Linked DNA regions of Mus musculus. The protein of the gene in region 3 binds, or shares a complex with, the protein of the main gene of each other region. Links are inferred from orthologs where the notes say so. Each region holds a gene or a part of one and is shown on either strand. Other genes may lie near its edges.

The links.
Region 1: Casc3 (region 3) and Upf3b share a complex: the UniProt entries of both Homo sapiens proteins name them as parts of the mRNA splicing-dependent exon junction complex. The link is inferred for Mus musculus from reciprocal best matches to the Homo sapiens genes CASC3 and UPF3B.
Region 2: Casc3 (region 3) and Magohb share a complex: the UniProt entries of both Homo sapiens proteins name them as parts of the mRNA splicing-dependent exon junction complex. The link is inferred for Mus musculus from reciprocal best matches to the Homo sapiens genes CASC3 and MAGOHB.
Region 4: Casc3 (region 3) and Magoh share a complex: the UniProt entries of both Homo sapiens proteins name them as parts of the mRNA splicing-dependent exon junction complex. The link is inferred for Mus musculus from reciprocal best matches to the Homo sapiens genes CASC3 and MAGOH.

What each region holds. Positions count from the first base shown.
Region 1 is NC_000086.7:37,093,317-37,096,877, reverse strand, and holds part of Upf3b (regulator of nonsense transcripts 3B), read left to right. Parts: coding exon 1-20; intron 21-1,055; coding exon 1,056-1,356; exon of another isoform or gene 1,357-3,561. UniProt on the Homo sapiens protein: Involved in nonsense-mediated decay (NMD) of mRNAs containing premature stop codons by associating with the nuclear exon junction complex (EJC) and serving as link between the EJC core and NMD machinery.
Region 2 is NC_000072.6:131,290,427-131,294,712, reverse strand, and holds the start of Magohb (protein mago nashi homolog 2), read left to right. Parts: upstream 1-1,468; 5' UTR 1,469-1,547; coding exon 1,548-1,641; intron 1,642-2,772; exon of another isoform or gene 2,773-2,972; intron 2,973-4,286. UniProt on the Homo sapiens protein: Required for pre-mRNA splicing as component of the spliceosome. Plays a redundant role with MAGOH in the exon junction complex and in the nonsense-mediated decay (NMD) pathway.
Region 3 is NC_000077.6:98,808,352-98,812,651, forward strand, and holds the start of Casc3 (protein CASC3), read left to right. Parts: upstream 1-1,456; 5' UTR 1,457-1,512; coding exon 1,513-1,740; intron 1,741-2,107; coding exon 2,108-2,135; intron 2,136-2,546; coding exon 2,547-2,584; intron 2,585-4,300. UniProt on the Homo sapiens protein: Required for pre-mRNA splicing as component of the spliceosome. Core component of the splicing-dependent multiprotein exon junction complex (EJC) deposited at splice junctions on mRNAs.
Region 4 is NC_000070.6:107,878,303-107,882,593, forward strand, and holds the start of Magoh (protein mago nashi homolog), read left to right. Parts: upstream 1-1,452; 5' UTR 1,453-1,555; coding exon 1,556-1,643; intron 1,644-2,590; coding exon 2,591-2,649; intron 2,650-4,291. UniProt on the Homo sapiens protein: Required for pre-mRNA splicing as component of the spliceosome. Plays a redundant role with MAGOHB as core component of the exon junction complex (EJC) and in the nonsense-mediated decay (NMD) pathway.

The DNA.
Region 1 (3,561 bases), on a different chromosome or scaffold from region 3:
AAGGATGAAAAGCCAAAGAGGTCAGTCAGCAGTGAGAGCCGGGCCACTAATGCAGATGCCGCCGTGTCCTGGACTTGTATGGAATTAAATTATTTGTCATGGCGCACACAACCTGCAGTAACACTCAGGAGGCTGAGATAGGAGGATGGGTAGCTTCAAGATCAGCCTAGACTACATAGCAAGACCTTCTCAAAAAAATGAACTACTGGGCTGGAAAGATGGCTCAGTGGTTAAGAGCACTGACTGCTCTTACTGAGGTCCTGTGTTCAAATCCCAGCAACCACATGGTGGCTCACAACCATCCGTATTGGGATCCAATACCTTCTTCTGGTGTGTCTGAAGACAGCTATAGTGTACTCATATATATAAAATAAGTAAAATAAGTAAATCTTTTAAAAAAAAACCTCTTATTTAAAAAAAAAAAGGAGCTGCTTTATATGGAGTAGAGGGAGGAGGGTCATATGTTTCAAATATTCTGGTGTCTCCAGCTAGATGAATGACCGCTGTCTTTTTTTTCCTTTTAAAGATTTATTTTTATTATTTTCAGAAATATTATTTATTTCTATTATTTTGTGTGTGTGTGTGTGTGTATCTGTCTGTCTGTCTTGGGTGTGCCTATTTGTGCATGTGCCCAAGGAGGCCAACGGTGTCAGATCCTCCTGTAGCTGGAGTTACAGGCGGCAGTGAGCCACCTGATATGGGCTCTGGGAACCAAATTTGGGTTTTCTGCAAAAGAAATAGACTCTTGACTTATGAGACAGCCCTCCAGCCCTGACTTCTGGTTTTTCTTATTTTCTAAAACAACTCCTACTTTTTCCTCAGCTGTAAAAGTGCACCCTCAATAAGATGGCCAACTTAGAACCACAGTGTTTCCGTATTTGCAATCATAGGATGTGTGAAGGTTTGGCCTCACCGTTGTTTTCTGTTCCGTTCTATTTTGTCTTGTCTTGTTTTTCAGACAGGCTCTCGGAGCCCTGGGCACTTCTCACATCATTAGGCAAAGCACTCTATCAACTGAAAGGTGTCTCCAGCCCTCTTGTTTATTTTTCACACAGGCTCGATGACGAGGGTGTCAGAGATTACAGAGACAGGGACCGGGACTATGAGAGAGATCAGGAGCGCATGATCCGAGAAAGAGAGAGGCTGAAGCGGCAAGAAGAAGAGCGCCGGCGGCAGCAGCAGAAAGAACGCTATGAGAAAGAGAAGGCTTTTAAGCGAAAGGAAGAAGAAATGAAGAGAGAGAAAGAGGCACTTCGAGATAAAGGAAAGAAGAGTGAGAATACAGAATCAATATGCTCATTAGAAAAAATTGAAAAAAAAGAGGAAGTGGTTAAGAGAGACCGCATAAGGAACAAGGTGCTGCTGTTTTTTTATTAAACTTGGTTGTTTTTATGAGGATTCCCCCCCTATTCTTAGAAGGATAAATTTAAAGGAATGTGCCCTATCCCCACCCCCACTAGGTATTGAATCATTGCAAGCTTTCTGCCAGTGAACTTCATCCCCAGTCCCTATTGTGGAATTTTCATTTTCTTTTTTTCTAATTTATGTATTTATTTTTTGCATGTGTGCACATGAGTGTGCACACGTGCATACATGTCCAGTGCATGAATAGTGGTGAGAGGACAGTTTGTGGGAGCCATTTTCTCCTTCCACCAGGTGGGTTCTAGAGATTGAACCCAGGTTGTCAAGCTTGGCAGCAAGTCCTCTTACCCAATGAACCATCTCATCAGCCCAATGGTAATTTCTTTCTTTGTTTCTTTTCTTTTTTGTTTTTCTTTTTCTGTTCTCTTTCTTTCTCTCTCTCTTTTTTTGTTTTTGTTTTTTTTTTTCAAGACAGGGTTTCTCTTTGTAGCCCTGGCTGTCCTGGAACTCATTTTGTAGACCAGGTTGACCTTGAACTCACAGAGTTCCGCCTGCCTCTGCCTCCTGAATGCTGAGATTAGCAGCATGCCCCACCCTGCCCAGCTTCAAAGGTAATTTCTTACTATCCTAATTATTCCTAGTGAGAGTTTCCCAGTTGCATCATTAATGTCTTTTTAAATAAGGGCCATGAACAATGTTCATAGTGTGTGGTTGAATTCTATTTTGATCTAAACAATCTTTTTTTTCCCTGATACATAATTGTTTGTTGTAGAAACCAGTTTGTCCTATGAATCTTCTCAGACTGTACATTGGCAAATTATAACTTCTTTATCTCATTGAACATATATATTCTGTTTCTTTTATAATTACTACTTAAGCACTAGTACTGTCATAGACAACAGCATAAATGGAACCATAGGTTCAAAACACAGCATTAAAAATTTATAATTAAACAATTTTTAAATGAAAATAATAGTCAAATCTTGGAAAAACAGCTGCTAATATTTTAGGCTATCTGAGCCATATAGTCTCTGTCACAACAGCTAAATTCTTTAAGGAAATAGACATGGGTAATATATAAAAATGAGCTTGGGGTTGAGTGTGTTTCTCAGTAGTTAAAAGTGCTGGCCTAGCTTGCATGGCAGGACACAGCTTTTATCCTAGCACTTGGGAGGCAGATGGAGGAGGATCTCTGGAGGACAGCCTGGTCTATTTACTTGAATCCAAGGACAGTCGGGGCTATGTAAAGAGACCCTGTATCAATAACAACACTTGGGGCTGGAGAGATGGCTTAGCAGTTAAGGGGTGAATATTTTTTATTTTTTCAATTGCTAGTACCCATGTCAGGCAGCTCACAGACATATATAACTCCAGTCACTGTGGGCAACTGCATGTACTTATAGATACACATGCATACTACTTCCCCACACAGTTAAAAAAATAATAAGGAAAAATAAATCTTTTTTTTTTTTAAGGCTAGGCATGGTGTATACCTGTAATCCCAGAACGCAGGGGCAGAAGCAGGTGGGTTTCTGTAAGGCAAGCAGATCTTTTCTTTTTTGCTAGGGATCAAACCCAAATCTAGTTAGGCAAGAATTCTACCACTGAGCTAAATCAAGCCAAACTTAAACATATTTTTGTGTAGTTTTAGATTTTTATAATGAATTTATTGCATGGGACATGGTGGCCCATGTCTGAAGGAGGATTTCAAGTTGGAGGTCAGCCTAGGCTACTTTAGGCCCTGTTCTCCCTCTCCCACCACAAAAGGCGATTTACTGGTAGAGAATCACAGGCATGTAGTTGTAGTTTCTCCAGTGACTTACACCCCCCCAGGCCAGTTGTCTAACCCCTGGCTTTGAATGTATTAAACACTCTGTTACTGAGCTACAGCTTGGCCCTTGGTTCTTGTAGTTTCTAAGTTTAAAAAAATTAGGGGTAATTAATTCTTATTACCTAATACCTATAAATTAGGTTATCTTGAGGTAGTTTTAAAATTAGGCGAATACATTATATGCATGTACAAAATTCTCAAAGAATTAATAAAATATTATTTTAAAATTTAGAGGGGCTGGAGAGATGGCTCAGCGGTAAAGAGCAATGACTGCTCTTCCGAAGGTCCTGAGTTCAAATCCCAGCAACCACATGGTGGCTCACAACCATCTGAAATGAGATCTGACGCCTTCTTCTGGTGTGTCTGAA
Region 2 (4,286 bases), on a different chromosome or scaffold from region 3:
GTGTTTGGCAGTTGATCACTGTGTATCTAGTTAGTTAATGATCAAACAGGTTGAGAGATAATGACTTGTCCAAGGTTACGTGGGACCAGTACTGAGACTGGACTCTTTTTCTTAGGATTGTGACAGAAGGCCATCAGTCACCGATAGGATTACTCAGTGGTGCTAAAAGAAAGGTGATCAGGAATTGGAACGAGGGAACTGGGTGCAGTTCACTGTCATTTTGTGCTCTTCAAGACTACACTTGGATGTTCCGTATTTTTCCAACTCAAACTGTTGAGAACTGTGACCTAGCCCTGCAAATATATAGGGTACTAACCATTAACCCTTAGTGACTCATGAGTTGTAGTATACTATGAAAAACTCTTCTATGATGACTATCTGGACTTTTCAGTTTCATGTGCTATTTAAACATCAAACTCCCACCAGACAGATTCATTTTACTCTGTGTCTCCGTCTGGGCTGTTAGCTACTGGAAATTTTGAAGTATTACCAAAAGGGACTCTGGTAGATTGTGTTCTGGTTGCCACCGGAATGTATCTTTTCTCAGTTCACCAGTTTCAGGAAGTAGAGTCACACCCCACTTTACAATGTGCTTCGAGATCAGAGATACCCACAATAAGTACAGCTTGTAAACCTTAGTTCAAAACTCAGAAAAAGACACACCTATAGCATAGGGCAACTCGAAAGTAAAAGTGGTTTTACATCTGTTCCTTCCAAGCCCATTTAAACAAACGAGAAGAAAACAAAGAAACAAAATCCCTAGCTATTTCTTTGCTAAGATAAAATATACAGGAAAACGGACAAATCTGGCAATTATTATAGTGAGGTAATGATGAAGTATTAAGACAAATCTTGTATAGAATTTTAGCTTTTGTATGAGTGTATTTATGTGCTAGTGAGTGTAGGTTATTAAACCAGAGAGGATACTGAGTGTAGGTTAAAGAAATAGAGTGGGAAGTGTAACAGGATACATTTAACAAGAAAGTGCAGCGGGAATAATTTGGGCCCAAGGGTTGGGGGCAGTAGATGAGGAAGAGGTGGAGTGTGGCTCAACCAAAATATAGAATGCCAAAATGAAATCCGGGACTTTGTATCCACCAACGCGCTCATGCAAGCCACCCTTATTAAACTCGGTGAGCCTCCCCTCAACCCAGACAAAAACAAGGCGTAAACGTACAGGAGGGCTTATTGGTAAGACTGGTTCAGCGGAGAAGGGATGAGAGAAGATAACATGGTGGGAGCGACTAAAATTCATCATGTACGTGTATAACATCGTCACAGAGTTAAAACGTAAAAATCGAAGACATGAAAATCTTTTCCAAAAAAAGAAAAAAAAAAAAAAAAAAGCGCTCGAGATCGTGGTGGCTCCAATGCGAACCTTCAGTTCTCTTGGGGGTCTCTTGCTTCCTCTTCAGTTTTCCGGGATTTCGTTCCCTACCGGAGTAAACGCGCCCTTGGTGACGCGCTTTGCCTGCGCCCGTGACGTCACTACCTCGCGCCGGCGGCACGTTGGCCCCGCGGTATAGCGGGCTTTACCGAGGGTAAAAATGTCTATGGGTAGTGATTTCTACCTTCGCTACTACGTCGGGCATAAGGGCAAGTTTGGGCACGAGTTTTTGGAGTTCGAGTTTCGGCCGGACGGTGAGCGGCGGAGGGGCTGCGAGGGAGGGCGAGCCGCCCAGGGAGCGGGTTTCAGCGTGTGTGTGTGTGTGTGTGTGTGTGTGTGTGTGTGTGTGTGTGTGTGTGTGTTTCCTTTCTTCTTTATTTCAATTTACTTGTTTAGTTTTGAGAAAGGGCCTTGTTGTGTAGTCCAAGCCGCCCTCGAACTCACGATCCTCCTGCTTCAGCCTCTGGGATGCTGGGATGACAGGCGTGTCACCATGCCCCAGACTCCCAGAAGGGCTTGAAGGGTTTCATTCCAACATTGGAAGACTTTGCTTTTGTAGCAGGCTTGTGCTGTATTTGTGAGAGCAGACATGGGTTATGTTTGTGAGAGGGAAAAAAATGCTGTAAAGTAATTCAGAAAAGCGAATTCTGCCACTCCTGAAAAGTTGAACATATAGGAATCGGAAACTTAGAGCAGAGAACCTGTGCTCCGGGAGTGTTAACAGAATTATCAAGTGATACTCCAGAGGATGCATGGAATCTTTAGGTGACCTCTTTGGCCTACTCGTTCATTCATGGTATGTGTTAAAGCTGCTTTATAGGGGAGGAGCCCCGTGTCTGAACACAGGAATGTGGTATGTGTCAGGTTTGAAATACAGTTCTTCACTAGTGGATGATGGCCAAAGGTAAGGGAGTCAGTGGAAATGCTCCTAGAAGCTCTTTTTGTGCCACCTCCTAGGCAGTCGGCCAGCCTTGTCTAAATGAGTCTGAAAATCTCCTTCCTAGCCACCAGCTGTCAGAACTCTTTCAAGGGGACAATCAATACAAACTTCATACTTTCAGCAAGAAGCAAATGGCCACAGGGGTAGCCGCTGATGCTCTGGGTGAAGAGGGGAAGTGTTGTGTGGTCCCAGTCACAACCAAGGACTGGGGGAATGACAAACAAGCTTTTCCCACAAAACAAGGCTTCTTGACCCAGAGCAGAGTGTACCTGCTGTTGAGTAAGGGGCATACTTCTATAGACCAAGGAGAGCTGGAGAGAGGAATTGCAGGTCTGTTCTTGATATATTATGAATGCCAATCTGAGTGCTTTCAAATTGGTTATTGTAAAAAAATATTGATACTGCTGGACTGAGCCCCTGTCCCTCTGTTTTTGGTCCCAACAAGCTAGCAGAATCTTAAAGCATTTTAGTAACTCTAAAGAAGACGATGTCTGCTAATGAACTATTGAAAAGCCCTGCAACAGTGGCTGTAAGAAATCCAGGAGGAAAGCACCCAAGGTTCAGCATCTACTTACGTCACTTGTCCTTCAACAACACCATCTCCAATGTATTGTTCTCAAGAAGCAACACACTAAGAAAAACAAGGTAGCTACAGAATAAGCTTAACTTTTGGCCTAGAGAATGAAGCTTAAAAAAAAAAAATACCAGGAACAGATTTCCAAGAGACATAGACTGTCCTCAATGAGAGCTTCTACTTTTAAGTCTGAGTCCAGTAAACAGTAAGTGTTTAAGACAAAGAAGTAAATGATCAGACCTTGAAAAACAAAACAAAAAAAGTTTTCCCTGAGTCTTTTTATTGGGGTGGGGGTGGGGGGTTGAGACAGGGTTTCTCTGCAGCCCTGGCTGTCCTGGAACTCACTCTGTAGACCAGGCTGGCCTCGAACTCAGAAATCTGCCTGCCTCGGCCTCCCGAGTGCTGGGATTAAAGGCGTGTGCTACCACGCCCAGCTTCCCTGAGTCTTTAATCCTAGTACTCTGGGGGCAGATGGAGTTTCAGAAAAGCCAGAGCTACACAGTCAAACCCTGTCCCCTCACAAAGTTCCCCATGCAAAAAAGAATCTGCCCCTAGAAGATGAGACACTTGATTGAGATAAAACTGAGAAACCTTCTTGGTTTCTGGGTGAGAGAAAAACCAGAGGAGAGCAGAATGATCAGGGGTTTGTTGGAGCCTCTCCCTGTGTAGTGTAAGGCAATTCTGTCTTGGGACAGCTCTGCCTACCTGCACCAAGAATTTTTATTTTTGAATGTTCATTATGTAGTGGGCAGTATATAAATGTCAAAGCTGAAGGTACTTGGGAGACAAACATTTAACCTACTATAGGACAGTATGGGTTTTACTTAAGTGCTTTATGCATGACTTGCACGAGGTTCTTTGATAGGTAAGGAGAGGATCATGGATTCCAAAAGTTTCAAGCATTTAGGAAGAAGTCAGCATAGCAGTCAGTGTTCCTGCTGTTATTTAGAACTTAATAACTTCACCCTTGTTTCCCAAATTTTGTTGTTGTGGCAGTGGTCTTCTAGTTTTCTCTTTTCTTTTCTTTTCTTTTCTTTTCTTTTCTTTTCTTTTCTTTTCTTTTCTTTCTTTCTTTCTTTCTTTCTTTCTTTTTTTTTTTTTAAGATTTATTTATTTGTTATATATACAGCATTCCACTGGCATGTATACCTGCAGGCCAGAAGAGGGCACTAGATCTCGTTATGGATGGCCATGAGCCACCGTGTGGTTGCTGGGCATTGAATGCAGGATCTCTGGAAGAGTACTGTTCTCTTGACCTCTGAGCCATCTCTCCAGCCCTAGTTTTATTTATTTTTATAAAAAATTAATTGCTTTTTAAAAATTTTATTCCTCTTGTAATTCTGTTCTTGTTCCTCTTGCATTTGAATAACACCAGCTTGTTCTTA
Region 3 (4,300 bases):
CCGTTTCTCACAACTGTTTCTCAGGAGGACTGCTATCCCAAGCACCCACACAGCCAGGAGAGCCCCAGGTTCAAGATCAGCCTAGCTTCCATGAGACCCTGTCTCAAAAAACAAAAGAAAGTAGGATCCAGAGCAGGATTACAGGTATTGTCCCCTCATAGCCTGCATCTGGGGAGGCTGAAGCTGGTGGGTCCCGAGTGATGAAAAGGCTAGCTTGAGGTCATAGATTTTCTTAAAAAAAAAAAAAAAAAAGAAAAAAGAAAAAAAACATCCCAAGCTGGATTCCGACCAAACAACTAAAGGACAAAGTGGCATGCTATCCTTGTCCTTATTTAGACACTCAACTTGGCAGTCTTGCTGCACCATTTTAGATTGTGATGGATAAGATTCTTATGCCTTTCACACTTATTAAATCATGCATCCTCCATTTTGAGTTCAGGCAGTTGTTTCTGGAGCTGAACTCCATGATACATTTGGCCACCTGTCACCAGTTGAATCAGTCCCTGCAGACAGTCATGATTCCTTGGAGTCTCATACTGTTTATAGATCTGGTAAGCAGTGGGGACCTTTAGCTATTTATGAAAACAGCTCAGAGTCCTCTTAACTCATCTATTTGATGTATATTAACAATATGCAGTAATAAATTAGCTTACAAACTATATGTTGCTGCAAGGTAGTTGTGCTGAGTTTTCTTTCACTGCTGATAAATGCATACCCAAAGCATTCTCTGTAGAGTAACAATGCACCAGGATTTGAAACTAATACCTCGAGACATTGAAGGGGCAGAGAGGGTCCAAAACTAGCCTCTTAACTAGTCAAGGGTGATCCAGCTCTGATGTTTTAAAAGCATAGTAAGACTAGTGTCCTTCCAACCTTCAGTTCTCAAAATGAGATAACTAGGTTAGGAAGACACATGGAGAAAGGAGATTTTGAATACACCCAGGAAACACCGCAATACTAAGTTCTGTCCCCACTGCAGTTTCTCCTTTCCCCTAAATTTAGACTGAGGTGAAGAGCTGGCAACTGACGCAGGACTAAAGGCTTTTTCACCTGGACTCGTGATTTTTAACCATGCGAAGGAATACAGTAAAATGTTCTGTATAGAATTCAGGGGAAAGCGAGCAATGGAAAACGAAAATCATGCAATTGCTCCAACGTCGCACTGGAGCTAGAAGAGCTCGAAACCCTCCCCAAGGAAAGTCCAAGATGGCCGAGCTAAGAACCCGAAGAGGATGCAATAGCCCCGCTCCCAGGCGCCCTCCGCCCGCCGGGGCTAGGGGTGTGGGGGTGTGGGGAAATAAAGCGCTAGGCCACGCCTCCTTACATCACCGACAGACGTCATCTCGCTCTCCAGAAAACGTGCCGCAGGGTGCAGGCCCCGCCCCGCGGAAAGAAGGGCGGCCCTCCCTGGACGTGAAGCACGCTGGGACTCCGGAGTCTCGAGCTTCCCGGCAGCCTCCGCGGCGGGCGTGGTGCGTAAGGAGCTGACCAGCGGTGGCCGTTCTCCGTAAGATGGCGGACCGGCGGCGGCAGCGCGCTTCCCAGGACACGGAGGACGAGGAATCCGGGGCTTCGGGTTCCGACAGCGGCTCTCCGGCGCGGGGCGGCGGCAGCTGCAGCGGGAGCGTCGGAGGCGGCGGCAGTGGCTCGCTGCCTTCTCAGCGCGGCGGCCGCGGCGGGGGCCTTCACCTGCGGCGGGTGGAGAGCGGGGGCGCCAAGAGCGCCGAGGAGTCTGAGTGTGTGAGTGAGCGGCGGGCGGTCCAGGGCGGCGACCCGGCAGGGGGCGGGCTGGAGATGCTGTGAGATGCCGGGCCTCCTCTTAGAGGGAAAGAAAGGTTGTCCCGCTGCGAATCTGCATCCACCCAGAGCCCCGGGGAAGGAGGACTGGGTGGTTTCTGAGCTCAGGGCGTGCAATGTTTACACGGAAACTGGGGCTGGGATGTAGAGAACCGCCATTCTCGATGTGACTTCTGAAGATTTATCTTGCCCCATATTCCTACCCAACCATCTGTGTTGATTCTTCAGTCGTCCCTCACGGTTATCTGCGGGTGGGCTCCCCGCGTCTGGAAATCACCAACTCTAACCTGTGTGATCTTCTTCCTCCCAGGAGAGTGAAGATGGCATGGAAGGAGATGGTGAGTAATTTTACTTTATCTTGAATTCTTGTGGATGTAAATTAAGGCCATGTATATCTTACACTGGGTCTTTCTCGGTTTGTTAGGGGTTTTTGGAGAGCGTTCCCCGGGAGTGGCGTTTGTGTCATGGTGATGATGAGCATGCTTGTTTGGTTTGGTTCCTTTTTGGAAGGTGACAGATTGAGTGCACTGTGGTGACTTAGAATAACACCTGACAACAGCATAGTTTTTCGTCAGTGTGGTCCCAAAGTTCTCCATCTGTCAACAGAAACTATAATTTTATCTGCCCCAGAAAGTTGCTGCGTCCACAAATTAAGTGAGGATGTTTGCCTGGCCCAAAACGAACTGTCAGAAATGTAGTAACAAACGTTTATGTTATTACATATCACATAATTTGTCTTTTCCTTTCAGCTGTTCTTTCCGATTATGAAAGTGCAGAAGATTCAGAAGTGAGTGTGATAGATTCTTTTTCCTTATGGCGTAAGTCAGAAAATGTCTCTTTAAAAAAACCTCTAGCTGTGTGGTACAAAAATTCCCTGACTTGCTTCTCTTATACATTCTTCTCGTGTGCTTTTAAAAGTCTGTTAGAAGTCTGGTGATGGTGGCACATGTCTTTAATTCCAGCCTTGCCCGGTTAATGACTGCAACTTGAAGCCACACCTCTTGAAGGGACAGGTTACACTTAGTTGATTTATTCTCAGTAAAGAAAGTGAGTTTGTGAGTCAGAGAATACGATGCTGAAATCCTTTACAAGGTGTTGGACAGGGTCCTTTATATGTCTGGATTGAGAAGACAGCCACTTGACTGGCTCCTCATGCATGCATGATTTTGAAATCTTGGAAGGACAGAATTCTGAATAGTTTGTGCAAAAACGCATCCTTCGTGGTGGTGCATGCCTTGAATCCCAGCAATTGGGAGGCAGAGGCAGGCAGATTTCCGAGTTCGAGGCCAGCCTGGTCTACAGAGTGAGTCCCAGGACAGCCAGGGCTATACAGAGAAGCCCTGTCTCGAAAAACAAAACAAAACAAACAAACAAACAAACAAACAAAAAAACTGCATCCTTTATTTTATAGCTAGAGTTTTTTGGTATCTGTGGTAATGTTTTCCAAATCAGAAAACATATTGTGAACTTTGTTTTGATTGGATGGTAGCTGTAGATACTGTCAGAATGACATTGTCATGGAGTTAGTTATTTTGTGCAGGATTGGTTGAACAGACTCGTGTTCTGTGTTTTAGAGATAGGTTGCATTCAGGAAGAAGCAGATGGTGGACCAAGGGTTTGGTTTGTGACTGTGCTTGTTGTATTATTTAGGTTGGGATTTCTTTGTTTTTTGATGCTGCAGGGTGAGCCTACAGGTCAATACATGCAAGAAAAGTGTGCTACCGCGGAGTGTTCTGCCTTAGCCCTTATCTTATAAATATTGTGGAATTTTGACTGTCTTGCCTTATTACACTTAAGGAGGTAACAGTAAGCATTATTTCAGAAGTCCTGTTTTAAGAAGTTGCATAAAAGAAGACAATACAGCCGGGCGTGGTGGTGCACGCCTTTAATCCCAGCACTTGGGAGGCAGAGGCAGGTGGATTTCTGAGTTCCAGGCTTGCCTGGTCTGCAGAGTGAGTTCCAGGATAACTAGGGCTACACAGAGAAACCGTGCCTTTAAAAAAAAAAAAGAAAGAAAAAAAAAAACAATACACTAGGCCAAGGAAACAAAAACACGTGGCACAGAAATTAATTTGACAAAATGTAAATTCAAATAAGGGCTGGGGAGATGGCCCAGTTTGGTAAAGAGGGCCTGGGTTCAATCCCCAGAGCCAGTGTGATGGTGTGTGTAATTCCATTGCTGGGGAAAGCAGAAACAGCTATGGAGCTTGCTGGGCGGGCACACAGACTGTCTAGCCTTCCACCAAGAGACTGTCTCAGAGACTACAATGAATACCTTTCCCAAGGAAGAATATCTGATTCTCTGAGTTCCATTGCATGTTTGCACATGTGAGCATTTCTGCATAGTGACACTAATTCAAAATCTAGCATTTAGGAGTGAGGGTCAGGAAGATTATTTCAAATTCATTGCCATCCTGGGAAATGAAACTTTAAAAAATATTTTATGTATATGCATGTTTTACCTGAAAAAAAATGTCTGTGTGTATATATATACATGTATGTA
Region 4 (4,291 bases), on a different chromosome or scaffold from region 3:
ACGATGTGTGTCAATTCTTTTTTTTTGAGACAGGGTTTCTCTGGCTGTCCTGGATCTCACTCGGTAGACCAGGTTGCCCTCGAACTCAGAAATCCGCCTGCCTCTGCCTCCTGAGTGCTGGGATTAAAGGCATGTGCCACCACACCTGTCGTGTGTCAATCTTCTATGACTAGAATTTACCGTATTTCACCTACTTGACCTTAAAATTCCCGCACCAGAAATTTGACCTTTCACAGAGGTCAACTTTGGCTCTTGAAAATGAACCTCTTGGGTAGTGGTCTCCACATTTGACCCACCTCGTTTTTGTTTCAGTTTGTGTGTGTGTATCTTACTTGGTAGTCCTGACTGGCCTGGAACTCACTATGCAAAGAGCAGTCTAGGCTTAAACTCACAGAGGTCTACTCCACTCTGCCTCTGAAGTGCTGGGATCAAAGGCATTGGCCACCATGCCCAGTTCTCACCTGGGTATTTTTTTAGAGGCTTCAGTGAAACTGGATTCTGTCAGCATGTGGCTAGGGCTGAGAATCGCTGCTAAATAAGATGACCAGTAGGAGCCGGGCGGTGGTGGCGCACACCTTTAATCCCAGCACTTGGCAGAGGCAGGTGGATTTCTGAGTTTGAGGCCAGCCTGGTCTACAGAGTCAGTTCCAGGACAGCCGGGGCTACACAGAGAAACCCTGTCTCGAAAAACAAAACAAAACAAGACAAAAAAGCCTAGTAGGGATCCAACATTCATTTAACCGACCCACAACACCTATCTAGACATGTTAGCTTGAAAGGGAAGAATGAAAGGCAACTCGTTCATGAGTGGTGACCCTCGTGAGGATGAGGTAGGAGGGTTTGTGGTTTCAGGTCAGTCTGGATCAGGTAGCAGTACTCTGCCTACACGTAAAATAAAGAAATAGCAGAAAGGGATGTTAGCTAAATGCAGGCAAGTTTCAGGCAACATTGTGGAATGGGAAAGGAGTCATTCTTAAAAGACAGCTAAGTAAAGCCAACTTTATTTTTCGGGACAGGGTCTTAGTATGCAGCCACTGGTCTCAAACTCTCATTACGCTCTTTAGACATTTACTACTAATCTCCCGCCTCAGAGCCACCTCCTGATCTACACACTGGGGAGTGGAAGAAGGCGGGGGATGGGGGTGGCAGCGTACTCATAGATGAGCAAATCATTTTGCCTCCTTTTACTGTGGAAACCCATCTAGGTTCAGAGTGTGAATAACCTCGTTCGACTCACTTGTCTCTTTAAATTGAGGTTGCGCCTGACAGGACTCTAGCGCTCAGTGTTGGGCTGAAACCCAGATGCAGTTCTCGGATCCCAAGATCTTCCAGAACTCTCGATATACAACCAAGGGGGCGTGGCGATCTTGACCCAGCGTCTAGGGGAGGGGGCGTGGTAATCTCGTTCCCGCCTCCGGAGAGTGAGAAACTCTTAGTGTCGCGGTGGCAGACGTCATTTCCGCGCGCCACCATTACGCCAGTATAAGACGTAGACCGCAGGCCGTGGTAGTGTCATCCGTTCCTAAAGTTCCGTCCTCCTTGTCCCTTGCGAGGCATGGAGAGTGACTTTTACCTGCGTTACTACGTGGGCCACAAAGGCAAGTTCGGTCATGAGTTCCTGGAGTTTGAATTCCGACCTGACGGTAAGAGCGGCCTCCCGGCTGCGGGCAGTGGGACCGGCCCCGGGGAGGGCGGAGAGAAGGCGGGCTGCGGAATGTGGCGAAGCGAAGCAAGGGACGCCGACCACCGTGCTGTTGGGTCGTGAAAGAGGCATTCTTTTGTCGGCTTCATTGGTTCTTTCTCTTCATCCGCTGGCGATTCTCCTTCGTAGCTTTTTAAAAAGCCAGGTTGCTTACATTCAACAAAGATTTAATGTCCATCTGAGAATGGGCTGTTTGTTTTCCAGTCTGGGGACAGAGCAACAAAAATAAATTTTCCCCTCTCGTGGAACATGTGTTTCAGAGCCGGAAGAAACCACAGCGATCTCTTGTAGTGTGGAGTGATCAAAAAGTAAGGTCGCTTTTAAAGAGCAGTCTGAGGAGTGTGAATTTGAATTAAGCCGTAATTGAAAAGGGATCAATTTTTGAAGTACAGGAAGAAAAGCATCTACAGGAGTAGCAAGTGTCATAGGACCTCAAAGAGCCAGACATATCCAGGTGGTCACTGGGGTGACTGAGAGACAGTAGTAGGGGGTGATGTTAGTCAAGAGCCTCGCTATACAGGTGTTTGTAGTGCTTGCTTGCATACAGCTTCCTTAGTTTTCAAAGTCCTTTCCCAACCCAGTTGAACATCAGCATGTTCTTCTCTGTGCAGCTAAGATAGCATTAAAATTCCTGTTTACAGCTGAGAACGTGTTCTTTTGCTACATCATGGCAGCCTTTTCCCGGGACTCTAGTTTACTGTCAGGTCCTTCTTCTGTTGTTCAGTAGTTTCAAGTGAAGTACCAAAAACACTACTATCACAGCTGGGAAATGGGTTGAAACATTCGATATAATTTAGGCAAAGCTCATATTCTTTGGAGGGTAATGGTGCTTTGTTCATGTTTTCTAATACGTTGCATTCTTTTTTTTTTTTCTTTTTTCTTCCGAAGGTAAATTGCGATACGCCAACAACAGCAATTACAAAAATGACGTCATGATCAGGAAAGAGGTACAGACCTTTCCTTCACTACGACTTAGCCTTTGGTTTCCCATTGCTTATGTTCTCTCTGGTAATGAAAGATGAAGTGTAGGAAGCGAGCACTTATTTCTAAGCAGCTAGATTATTTCTCTGATTCACTCCCCCCCCCCCCCCAGTGCTGAATCAAAAGCTAGTAAGTGTTTGAAATCTGTGTGTCTTGGTTTGTACCCTCGGTGTGCCCCATACTGACCATGTGACCTCAAAACAAGTTCTCTGGCTGAACTTGGTCTCTGTGTTTTCATCTGTAAAACAAAGGATAAGAAAACCTACCTGTGACTCCCAAATGTTATCATAGAATTAAATATATTAGTCCCTAGTACATAGACTATGAAGACAGCATTGACTTTGCTTCTGAAGAGGAAACGGATCAGGGGAAAGTCTCAACCTCGAATTACGCTCTTTAGAGCTAAACCATAGACATTTACTACTACTCTCCCACCTCAGAGCCCCCTCCTGATCCACACACTGGGGAGTGGAAGAAGGCGGGGGATGGGGGTGGCAGCGTACTCATAGATGAGCAAATCATTTTGCCTCCTTTTACTGTGGAAACCCATCTAGGTTCAGAGTGTGAATAACCTCGTTCAAACAATATGTTGTTTAATCCTGATTATAAAAAGCCCATGTGACAAAGTATTCTGCCATACTTTCAATCAGGAAAATCATGGCCTAGATATTAAATCTGAGGATAGTTACTCTTGCTTGTAAGAGATAATGATAGGCATTTGGGCATATCTGAATCTCAGTAAAGGTCATGTGTTCCATTCTGCTGGGATTTCTACTATATCATTAAGGATATGACAGTATGTCTTCATACAATTTAGCAGTTAATTTTATGCCGAATCAGCATCATATCTTTTTCTCTTTGTTTGGTTTGGGTTGTTTGTTTGCATGACCTAGTGCTCCTCAGAAGCAGTTGGTAGAGTGCTTGTCTTCATGAGGCCCTGGGCTTCATCCTTAGCATCACAGAAACTGATCATGGTAGCCATGTTTATATGTCAGCACTGGGGAGGTGAAAGCAAGAAGCTCAGAAGTTTAAGATCACCAAGGCCAGGCTGCGAGGCATGAAACCTTGTCTGTAAGCAGCAGGGTGTATCAGTTGTCTGTTACCACTATAACAATATATCTGACAGAGGCTATTGCCGGATTATTGTCAGGAATGATACAGACCTGCAATTCCATGACTTTGTAGTTGAAGGCATGGGGATTAGAAATTCAAGTTGGACTCAGTAATGGTGGTGGTGATGGTATAAGACTTTTATCACTCGGGAGGCAGAATGAGACGAATCTCTGAGTTTGACGACAGCCTGATATACAGAGCAAGTTCCAGGTCTGTACAGAGAAACTCTGCCTGAAAAAGCCTTTTTAAAAGAAATAATTAGTTCATAGCAAGTTTGAAGCCAGTGAGGCTCAGTGAAATTCTCAAAAATAAAGAAGAGATTATTTAGCTCATCACTCCAGAGGTTCAAAATCCAAACACCGCTGCAGTAGTGAGAATGGGTGTGTGGCCACGCAGTGACCTCTCTCACCAGGAGAGAAACACACAGACATTGGAGGCCCACAATTCCTCTGCTGATATGCTGCAATGATCTAAGAACCCACCATTAATTCCCAC